Linked DNA regions of Sus scrofa. The protein of the gene in region 1 interacts with the protein of each later gene in a pairwise test. Links are inferred from orthologs where the notes say so. Each region holds a gene or a part of one and is shown in the gene's direction. Other genes may lie near its edges.

Region 1 (3,739 bases):
TGGAGTTCCTGTTGTGGCTCAGTGGGTTAAGAGTCCAACTAGTGTCGATGAGGATGTGGGTTCGATCCCTGGCTTCTTTCAGCAGGTTAAGGATCTGATGTTGCCACAAGCTACAGTATAGGTCACAGACATGGCTAGGATCTGGCATTGCTGTATCTGTGGTGTAGGCCTGCAGCTGTAGCTCTGATTCAGTCCCTAGCCTGGGAACTTCCATATGCTGCAGGGTGGCCCTAAAAAACAAACAAAAAGATTTTTTTTTCATTTTTAAGGCTGAATAACACTCCACTATACGTAGAGACCACATTTTATTTAGCCATTCATTTGTCCATGGACACTTGGGTTCTTCTGTCCCTTGGCTGTGGTGAATAATGTTGCTTTGAACATGAGTGTCTTTGAGACCCTACTTCCAGTTCTTTTGGGTATATACTCAGAAGTGGAATTGTTAGGTGCTATGGTCATTCTCTTTGATTTTTTGGTTGGCCCTCCATGCTGTTTTCCTAGCGGTCACACCATTTTACATTCCCACCAACAGAGCACAGTATTTTGTATGCTCTTGGCCCTTTTTGGTCTAATGTAGAACATCCATGGTACTTGGCCCTCATCTAACTTCTCAGCCCCATCTGGGTTCCTAGAGCCACAATCAGACAGTGCCTGGTTGCTGAGCTCCTTTGATGGGGTGGGGAGCTGAGGTCTGTGGAGGGGAGATGACCTGCCCTTGACCAGCCCCTCCCCACCCCGCCCTGCCCCGCCCACCTCACTCTTTGCCCCATGGGATTCCCTGGCTTTCCCCTTGAGCTCCTGGGCCATGAGCACCAGGAAAGGAGAAGCACCTGGTTCAGGGGTGGTGCTCCCTGGGTTCCCCCACCCCCTTGTCCACACGTTCATCCACCAATGCTGTGCTTTCTGCCCACCCAGGTCCAACGGGCGCTCCTCCAAGCGGAGCCTTGGAGGGCAAGGCCGGCACCATTACCTCCAACGAGTGGAGCTCTCCCAACTCCCCCGAGGGGAGCAACGTCTCTGGGGGCAGCCAGGCTTTGGACAAGCCCATTGACAATGACGCAGAGGGCGTGTGGAGCCCCGACATCGAGCAGAGCTTCCAGGAGGCCCTGGCCATCTACCCGCCCTGCGGTCGGCGCAAGATCATCCTATCGGATGAGGGCAAGATGTACGGTAAGGAGGCTGTCAGTGTTGGGCAGCAGGCCCGCCAGCTCATGGTCCAGCCCCAGGAACAGCCTGGGCACAGCAACCCGGTTCCCTCCAAGTGATGGAAAGAGGTGACCTCTTGGGGCTTGTCCTGGCAGACGCTGCTTTACTCTGTCCTAGGCTCCCAAGGGCTGGGAGGCATCAGGGGAGACACCTTTGGGTGGCTGTGAGGATGGAACTTGGGAAAGCCTAGAACATCCCCCCGGGGCAGGCTGGGAAAATCCCTTTAGCCACCCCCCAGGCAGATGCCTGATCTCCCAGCTTCCCACTGTGGCTGTGAAGGCCTTTAGGAAGGCGGTCCTGGTTCACTCCCTCATTCATACCTGGGCCTTTGGTGTGCCAGGCAGGGGCGGGGCAGATCTAGTCCCTTCTCATGGTACGTGGGGGTGGGCATACAGGTAACTGTACACAAGGCGTTGAGAGTGTCCCGGGGTTGGGGGGGGGTGAGGACCACCCCCCTGCAGGAGTGTGCCCCTTAGCTGAGAGCCATCAGGGAAGGCGTGGTCTGGGGCTCCACACGCCCTCTGCGTCATTGTCAATGCAGGACACAGAGGCACTTTGTCCCGCAGACCCTGGGAAGGAACGAGCCGTCTGCCTGGGCTGTGTTGACTTTGGGATGGAAGAGAGGGTATCTGGGAAGCAAAATGAACACGGAACAACTTTTAGAGGCTCCGTTCAGGCTTCCATTGCCATTGGAAAGTTCCCTGGGACCCCCAGCCTGAAACACTGGGACTGGGTAGGAGCTGTGGGGATCTCTGACTGGCTGAAGCCCCTGTCCACAGAGGGTCTTGCCCTGCTTCCCATGAGATGGCTCTGGGCCAGTGCCCACCCCCACGTGGGTGCCCCTCCCCCAGCACAGATGCCTCATCAGCTGACTGATCTCAGCTCCTAGGGCTGCTGTAAAAAACCACCTCGAATTTCAGGGCTGCCTTAAGATGACAGACATGTATCCTCTCCCGAGTCAGAAGGTTGAAGGTCTGAACTCAGGGTGCTGGGGGTTGGCTCCCCTTGGAAGCTCTGCCGGAGGATCTGATCTGTGCCCCCTCCCAGCTTCTGGGGGCAGCTGGAGGCCCTTGGTGTCCTTGGCTTGTAGCTGTAGCACTTTGGTCTCAGACTCTGTTGTCACATGGCCGTCCTGTCTGTCTGTCTTTGTGTGTCCTCCTCTTCTAAGATACCAGTCGTTGGATATAAGGCCCCCCTTAATCCAGTGTGCCCTCATCTTAGCTAGTTAATTCTGTAAAGACCCTGTTTCCTGGAGTTCCCTGCTGGCCTAGTGGTTAAGGATCCAGTGTTGTCACTGAAGCAGCTTGGGTCACTGCTGTAGTGTGGCTTTGATCCCTGGCCCAGGAACTTCCAGATGCCATGGGCAAGGCCAAAAAAAAAAAGATCATTTCCAGATACGATTACATTCTGAGGTTCTGGATGGATGTGAATGTTGGGGGCGGCGGGCGCTGTTCCACTCTGTTCAATTAACTAAACTCAAATCTGCTTTGTGACTGGTCTAGGGAGCCAGCCCCACCTGCTTGTCTTTAATCTGCACCTGCCCTGCAAGGGCAGGGATTCCTTCTCCTGCTGGAGGAAGCAAGGTCCTTTCGAGCTAGACCCCAGCTCTGCTCCTCGGTTACCTGTTACAGCTGCTCATCCGACTTTACCAGCCCCTCCGCTGAGGCTCTGCGGGGCCCCCACTTCTGCGGGTCTCCACGCCCTGGTTTGGGCTCCCCTGGCACCTTGCTCTAACCACGTCCTGCTCCAGTGGTTGCTTCTTACTTTGGGTCCCCATGGAAGCTTCACGGAAGAGGCAGCCGCTGTGCGCAGAGCAGCTGTGGGTGCCAGGGGTGGGACCTGCTTTAGGTAGGCTCTTCCCGTGGAGCTGGGTGGCCTGGGCTCTTCCACGGCTTGATGGAGAGTGGGGTGCGTGTTGGTCATGAGCTGAGGTGTGACGGTGACGTCGTGGCGGGGGTGTGGCTGGAGAAATCAGGGTCCCTTGATGGGGCAGTGGTCAGTGCCCAGGCGCCTAGCAGGATTGATCTTCCTGCTTTAAAAGGACACATGGCCTGGCAAATACAATTGTGTTCGAGGCGCTCGGTGTGGGGAGAACGCTGAGGGTGCTGCCTGTTGGGGAGGCCCCGGTGGTGGCAGGTCTGGAGAGCCAGCAGACAGTCCTCGCGTGCCACAGTGGGACCCACTGTTTCTTTGTTACCCATTCTTAAGTGTACAGCTCAGTGGCATTAAGTACGTTCACATTGTGGTTGAGCAGCCATCCCCACTGCCCGTCTCTAGAACTTTCTCATTCCCTCCAACTGAAACTCTGTCCCCGCTCAGCACTGGCCCCTAGGTCCCTCTCCCGCAGTCCCTGGTACCCGCCATCCAGTCTACCGCTTTGGCTAGAGCTCCTCCAGGGCCCTCATATACATGGAATCACACAGTATTTGTCCTTTTGTGCTGGCTTTTTCACCTGACATCATGTCCTCAGGGTTCCTCCGTGTCATTTCAGGTGTCAGGATGTCCTTCCTTTTTAAGACTGAATCACCTTCCA
Region 2 (3,751 bases), on another chromosome or scaffold:
GGCAAGATATGTGCCTGTTTCCTCAATTATTCTATGAAGGTTGTAGTAAAAATCATCTCAAAAGGATTGGTATCTGGCAAATACTCAATAAATAACAACAATTATTATTACTTCATCACAATATATTTGTAAAGAAAAAAATGCAAGGTGAGGAAGATTACTTAAAGAACAATAATCAAAATGTTATTAATATTTGCTTCTGAATGGGCAATTTATGGGCAATTCTTTTCTACTTCATTACACTTTTCAGTATGTATTCTTTCACAATAAAGTTTAAAAATTAAGTTTTCTGTATACATGGCTTGACAGAAATTTAAGAGGAAATTTGAAAAGGTTAACATTTCTAACTGATTATGCTACAGCATTAATAAAATATTAATTAAGTTTATTATACTGATGTGACAGAATTTATATTTATCTTTTTTTTGCTTAATACTAAATACATTTTAAAAGTTTAGCCAATGTCAATTTAACATTAAGATACAAAGTCAAATGTTTATTATACTCTTAATATTTTGTTCTGTTAAAACTAAAAGTATTTTATTTTTTAATTTAAAAAAATCCCATATCAAAGTCCCAAAGGTGCCTTTCATGTTTAAGCTTTAATTAGCAACCACTTTGGTCTCTGACACATATTGCGCAGATACTGTAGTGTTAATATTACTGCAGCTTGATTACAAAAGGCAATGATTAATTTTAAAGCAGACAAAAAAGATCTGCCCTGATTACAAAGGAATGATTAAGGCGAATGTCAGACACTGCACATTTATAGCAATCTTTCCCATCGTCAAAGGATAAGACTTTGCAAAAGTCTATATTTAGAATCACAGGTACTTTGTACTTTATAATCCTGGGTTTGATCCTTGGAGACAGATCACCCCAACTCCAAGCTCGGCCTAAGACCTTTGAGGACCACATGGCCACAGCAAAGCAAAGCAAAGCAAAGCAAAGCAAAGCAAAGCAAAGCAAAGCAAAGCAAAGCAAAGCAAAGCAAAAGACGCGAATGCGCAGTGGACCCAACCGGACGCCGTAGTTTCAGTTCCCATCTGCTCCGGCCAGCTTGAGGCGCTGTCCGCGGGCTTCTGCGAGGTCTGCAGCCCACAGTATAATTACAAGTACAGGTTTTGCTAAGAGGTGGAGTATTTTGAGGACCTTTTCCCTAAAAGGGAGGGGGCTGAAAGGAAAAGGCGGACCACAGAAAGGGCTGCCGTCCAGACCACTCCGAAGCCGAGGCCTTAGGGCCTCCATTTTTTTTGCCGCCAGAATAAAGAAACCCGTCCAGGCTCCTGGGCCTCGGCGGAGGAGGGCTGCGCTCAGTCCCGGGAAGTAGCAGTTTGAGACAGGTCACAGGCGAAACGAGGGCGCCGGGGAGAAAAAAGCGGATTTGTCCCTCGTAAGAGATGAACCGGGGGCTGGGAGCACGTTTCGAGGCGCTGGGAGCTTCCCGTCAGCCCGCGTGGGGCCCGCCCTTGGCGAGGGCAGGGCGCAGGTCGCGCGAGGCCCAGCTAGGCATTGTCCTGGAATAATCCTTTATTGTGCTTTCTTTCCAGGATCCTCAGACTCGGTTATAAAATATTTAAGAGTGAAAAAGGGATTGGCGGGTGCCCGGCCCGAGATGAGTCTGGAGTCCTTGTTTCAGCACATCATCTTCTCTGAGCACCGGGCGGAGGAGAGTCGCCGCTTGCTGCGAGAAGGTCGGGCGTTTGCCTGGGGCCCTGGGTCTTCTTGGGTTGGGGGCTTGGAGCAGAAAGAAATGCCCAGGCCGCGGACAGAGCAGGGGGTCTGCTTTCCACGTCGAGGGGAAGACAGCTGCAAGGTGTCTTATCACAAGCCCTGAAATGGGGACTCCAGAAAGATGGATGGATGTTTAAGCATTTGTTTTACAGTGAGGTCGGAGATAAACAGATGTCGTGAAAATATTAAGAAAGCGGCAGAGGAGCTGAATGAAGAGAAAATCAAGTTGGAATCTAAGGTAGTAACATACACAGCATGCTCATTATCACTTGAAAAAGTGTTTTCACTCGACTTTTGGAGGATACTTTACTGTTTAACTAATTGTCCTTCCATTATTATTATTGTTTTTTTAATAGGAAGCGTGCTACCATGCCAGTTAGTGTAGTTACATGTTGTCTGGTAATAAAGTTCTGAATCCAGAACTTCCATCCTAACAAGAATTTGTGCTAAAGAAACCAGTTTAAGTAAAGAATTCATTGTGTTGCAGCATGATTAACGTTTCAGAAGAGCACAATGCCATTGGGAAAAGAATAATTCAATAAGTAGTTGGTAAGGGATATAAATTTTGAGTGATAAATAATTTAAGAAGTGTGCTGTGTTGATGTAACAGTTGAATGTAACTTTCCGATGAGTGTCTGCCTTTTGTTTTTCAACTCTCTACCACATTTTGGACATGTCTTTCATCCAAAAGGATAATTTTCCCACTAGCGTTTCACACTTGGCTGCAGCATTTGTAAAGATCTGTTATTTGAAATAGAAGCAAAGGAATCAGATGACTTCTTGAGGGAGGATTTTGAAGTGTGGGTAGGATTTAGGAGAGTGGTAGGTGAAAAGCATTTGAAGCAGGGGGAGAATGTGAACCAAAGGGAGACATGGCTGAGGCATATTGGGAGAGAAATCTCCCAAAGCAGAGGGCTGATATCTGGAAATAGGAGGAAACCATTGTAGGTTTTTGATCAGGGAATGGTGTGATAAAAGTGGCTTTAGGAAGCTCTCTCTGAGCTCTGGGAGAATGGGAACTAAGAACATCATCCAAATATGTCACAATAAAGGCCTCACTATGGGTAGGGGCAGACTGTCATACAAAAATATTTATTCAACTCCTAAAGATAAACTCTGCTGCAGTGTGCAATGGGAAATCTGTTTGAGAAAGTCTCTTTGCTAAAATAAGTCAAATCGACTTACCACTGTGAGAAATTTTCTGTTCTCTTTTTGTTTAAAATAATCATAGATTCTTTCTCCACCTGGCAGGCTTCTTCTCTTCTTCCTTTCAAGACTTGTTTCAACTTCACCATGAGCCCTCCCTTGTACATCTTGGAAAAATTTTTTATCATAGCATTCGGGGTACCACAACTAAACAGTACATACTTGTGTTCATATCCCTTATTATCTTGTGAGCAATATATTTGGATTTTTTAATTTTTATTTTATTTTTTGGCCATGGCTATAGCATGCGGATATTCCCTGGCCAGGGATTGAACCTGTACCACAGCAGTGACAACACTAGATCCTTAACCCACTGAGCCACCAGGGAACTCCTAGAATTTTTTTTTTTAACCATTAATTTTATTCCTACAGCCTGTATTCAGTGCCTAGCACATAGTATACATTAGTGTTTTGAATAAATTAATGAGTACTCATAGGGAGATAATATGGAGAGTGTTGTCTTTTAAAATAGAATTTGGAAATATTATTCAGTGAAACTCTTGGTCCTGTTTTGCCTGTGAGTAGCAGATAAACTAGCTGCTACCAGCAACACTGAAAGCTTATGGCATGAAGAAAGCATTAAGAATGTTATGATTTAGCTTAAATTTTTCCTTAAAAAGAATTAAGATACTTTCGGGATTGGAAACTATAAATTAGTATAATAGGCAAAACATATGCAATGAGGTAATGTATAGCTAACACTTATTGAGCACTTACTGTATGCTGGGCACTGTTCTAAATGCTTTACTTGTATTAATTCCTTTAATCCTGCCAGGAATCCTGTGATGAGGTATCATCATTAATCCCCTTT
Region 3 (3,651 bases), on another chromosome or scaffold:
AGTTCCTCCAGAAGTGTGTGGAATGCACTGAAATGAGCACCTTAATCCCATGTTGAGTCCATTGATTCTGCCATTGATCTCTAGCAGAAATCTTGAGAGTTTACCCCTTGCAAGGCAGAACTGATGTCATGCTGAGGTCCCGTCCTTTTTGACCTGAAGTGGTCGGCTTTGCATGGTCGCCTGTCTTCTTCAGACTGAACTCCAAATCATTGTTGGCTCTTTCACAGAATGTGCTGTGGAAGTGTTAAAAAGTAGTAAAAAGAAATTATAAAAATGTTCAGGGGCCACATCACTGGAATAGTTGAAAAGTCTTTCAAGGAATCCACTCTGAAGGTCTTTTGTGCATACATTAAAAATTGGTGTTTAAAGGAGTTCCCGTTGTGGCTCAGTGGTCAACCAACCTGACTCGCATCCATGAGGATGCGGGTTCAATCCCTGTCCTTGCTCGGTGGGTTAAGGATCCAGCGTTGCCGTGAGCTGTGCTGTAGGTCACAGACTCGGCTCGGATTCTGTGTTGCTGTGGCTCTGGCGTAGGCAGGAGGCTACAACTCCGATTGGACCACTAGCCTGGGAACTCCATATGCCACGAGTGCGGCCCTAAAAAGACACAAAAAAGAAAAAAAATGGTATTTAAATGAAATAAAATTTTATATCCAAAGTTAAATTTTGCAACTCTGTAGTGTCAAACTTTACAATGTTTTAAATAAACATTTCGTGTGCTGCTAAACTTCAATTTTAGGTAACAAATCCTAGTGTGTATGACTTTTTACTAATCAAAATTGCATATGAATGTTTTAGGAACAACTGGAAACCTCCAGGAGAGAAGTGATTGGGCTTCAGGAAAGAGATAGACAGTTACAGTGCAAGAATAGGAATTTGCATCAGCTACTGAAAAATGAGAAAGACGAGGTAAGTTGTCAGTTATTATGGATAAAATTTCAGTGAATTTTTATGTGTGTGTAATTTGAGGTGATCATAATGGTCACTTCACTTTAAGAGCGAACCATTTATTTATCCTGTGTCAAATGGAGATGCTGGACTTCTGTGTACAGTGTTGTATCTTTTTTCTTTTTTGCTTTTTAGGGCTGCACCTGCGGGCATATGGAGGTTCCCAGGCGAGGGATCCAATCAGAGCTACAGCTGCCAGCCTGCACCACAGCCACAGCAATGCCAGATCCAAGCTGCATCTGCGACCTACACCACAGCTTATGGCAACACCAGATCCTTAACCCACTGAGCGAGGTCAGGGATCGAACCCCAAACCTAATGGTTTCTAGTCGGATTCCTTTCCGCTGCGCCATGACGGGAACTCCCAGTATTGTATCATATTTAACTGAGAGGTCAGGAACTCTCTCCATGACATGGTTGGGGGGGTCCATTTGGCTTAGTGTATTAGTCCATAGCTGGTGACAGCCAGTGTTCTATACCATCCATCCTGTATCCACTTGAACTGTCCCTTTTTTGTTAGATGTAAGGGTCTGCTTTCAATGCAGGTATTTTATTCTCTGTCACATCTGTTCTTATGTCTAGCATGCCTCTTCTTACACTGTCTTAAATGTTATTGTTCATCCAGTCAGGCAATTATTTGACTAAATGGGCACACAAATTATTGTTTAAAAAAAGCAACTCACATTAAAAAAAAAAATCTCATTTTGGAGTTCCTGTTGTGGCTCAGTGGTAATGAACCTAACTAGTATCCATGAGGATGTGGCTTCGATTCCTGGCCTCATTCACTGGGTCAGGGATCTGTCCTTGCCATAAGCTGTGGTGAAGGTCACAGACATGCATGGCTGTGCTGTAGGCTGGTAGCTACAGCTCCAATTCAACCCCTAGCCTGGGAACTTCCATATGCCATGGTTGCAGCCCTAAAAACCAAAAAAAAAAATTTTCATTTCTTGGCTAAAGACATTGTAATTCTAATATTTGCTTTGGTGTTTACTTAGTATTATTCAGATCTATATAGATAATGCTTTTGGAATTATCTTTTAATTTATGTAAATAGAAACCATTGTTTTTATTGCTCTGCAGTTTTCTGACCACATAACTGTAAAACTGTAACATTTGTTTTCATTGTTGTGTATGTTGCAAAGAGTGGCTATGTAGAGTAGAACTTACTTCCTATCCAACACTGCCTGAGAAGCCATAATAGATATAAACATTGACCAGTAGTACCTAGCATAGAATAGGTACTCAGCAAATATCTGAAATGGATTCTGTATGCTGTTGGTCTCAGTCTAATTTGAAAATTATTTATTTATTTATTTATTTAGGGCGTCACCCCTGGCATATGGAAGTTCGCAGGCTGGGGGTCGAATTGGAGCTGCAGTTGCTGGCCTACACCACATCCATAGCAACATGGGATCCGAGCCGAATCTGCAACCTACACCACAGCTCATGGCAACGCCAGACCCTTAACCCACTGAGCAAGGTCTGGGATCAAACCTGCATCCTTATGGACACTAGTTGGATACATTTCCACTGCACCACAATGGGAACTCCCCAGAAAACTATTTTTGATCAGAGGAAAATGAACCTGTTTACTTGCTTCCATGTGCCATGACTAATTGACCTTGTCACAGATTGATAAAGGATGAAACGATTCATGTCTGAAGTAAAATAAGGTCCTTACAGATGATCAGATGAAGTCTGCTTGTTTCAGATGAAGCTTTAATCACATTACTACTTTGTAAGAGTTTGTGGTTTCTAAGTGATCAGAATCTGTATGTAAGGTGAAAGGTGTAGAAGATAATTTAGAAAGCTAGCAGCTCTGAAAATTTCAGAATTAAAAAATAAAAACTTTATGTGCTTCATTTAATGATATTTATTTACTTTACTTTCTTACTTTATGGCTGCACCTGAGGCACATGAAAGTTCCCTACCAGGGACAGAATCCAAGCTGCAGCCATGACCCATGCCACAGCTGCAAACGTGTACTTTTGCAGTGACCTGAGCTGCTGCAGCTGGACTCCCTACTCACTGCACCACAGCAGCAACTCCTCATTTAGTGATATTTTAAAGAGTGATTTCCAGTGGTTATGGAGAAGGAAGAATAATCCTAGAACTTTTAAACTATTACATGAGGAGCTGAAAGCTAGGACTTTACTTTCTCTTTTGAATTTGTACATTGGAACTGGGTTTACCAGTGAATTCTCAAGGGACTAATTCAATATAAAATGCCTTTTTTCTAGGTGCAAAAATTACAAAATATCATTGCAAGTCGAGCTACTCAATATAATCATGACATGAAGAGAAAAGAGCGTGAATATAATAAACTAAAGGAACGTCTACATCAACTTGTTATGAACAAGAAGGATAAAAAAATAGGTAAGAAGCAGCTGGCTAAGATAGTGCAAAGGGAATAAATAAGCTAGTATTACACAAAGAAATAAATGTGGAGGGATTGAGCTCAATAACTCATGAAATGTCCTTTTCATGCTCTATACAAATAATTTTAGATGGTCTATATCCATATAAACTAGAAATTGAGACAACTGGTTAGTTAAAAAATAATAATTTTGCTTTGCTCCATTACTTGCATATAGGAATTGCATACTTTTTTTTAATGTGACAGGTATAGGATTAATCCATAGAGAAAAGCTAAGCAAGAGGATACCCTAACCTTTCATAGCAATATGATTTGAGTGTCAGAAG

The links.
Region 2: the proteins of TEAD4 (region 1) and CCDC172 interact in binary tests that used the Homo sapiens proteins (3 or more experiments, as listed by UniProt). The two-hybrid records come from large-scale screens. The link is inferred for Sus scrofa from reciprocal best matches to the Homo sapiens genes TEAD4 and CCDC172.
Region 3: the proteins of TEAD4 (region 1) and SSX2IP interact in a two-hybrid assay, tested with the Homo sapiens proteins (2 studies listed by BioGRID). The two-hybrid records come from large-scale screens. The link is inferred for Sus scrofa from reciprocal best matches to the Homo sapiens genes TEAD4 and SSX2IP.

What each region holds. Positions count from the first base shown.
Region 1 is NC_010447.5:67,164,760-67,168,498, reverse strand, and holds the start of TEAD4 (transcriptional enhancer factor TEF-3), read left to right. Parts: upstream 1-919; 5' UTR 920-944; coding exon 945-1,170; intron 1,171-3,739. UniProt on the Homo sapiens protein: Transcription factor which plays a key role in the Hippo signaling pathway, a pathway involved in organ size control and tumor suppression by restricting proliferation and promoting apoptosis.
Region 2 is NC_010456.5:126,548,072-126,551,822, forward strand, and holds the start of CCDC172 (coiled-coil domain-containing protein 172), read left to right. Parts: upstream 1-1,040; 5' UTR 1,041-1,393; intron 1,394-1,550; 5' UTR 1,551-1,615; coding exon 1,616-1,694; intron 1,695-1,886; coding exon 1,887-1,972; intron 1,973-3,751.
Region 3 is NC_010448.4:129,087,141-129,090,791, forward strand, and holds part of SSX2IP (afadin- and alpha-actinin-binding protein), read left to right. Parts: intron 1-798; coding exon 799-909; intron 910-3,188; coding exon 3,189-3,324; intron 3,325-3,651. UniProt on the Homo sapiens protein: Belongs to an adhesion system, which plays a role in the organization of homotypic, interneuronal and heterotypic cell-cell adherens junctions (AJs).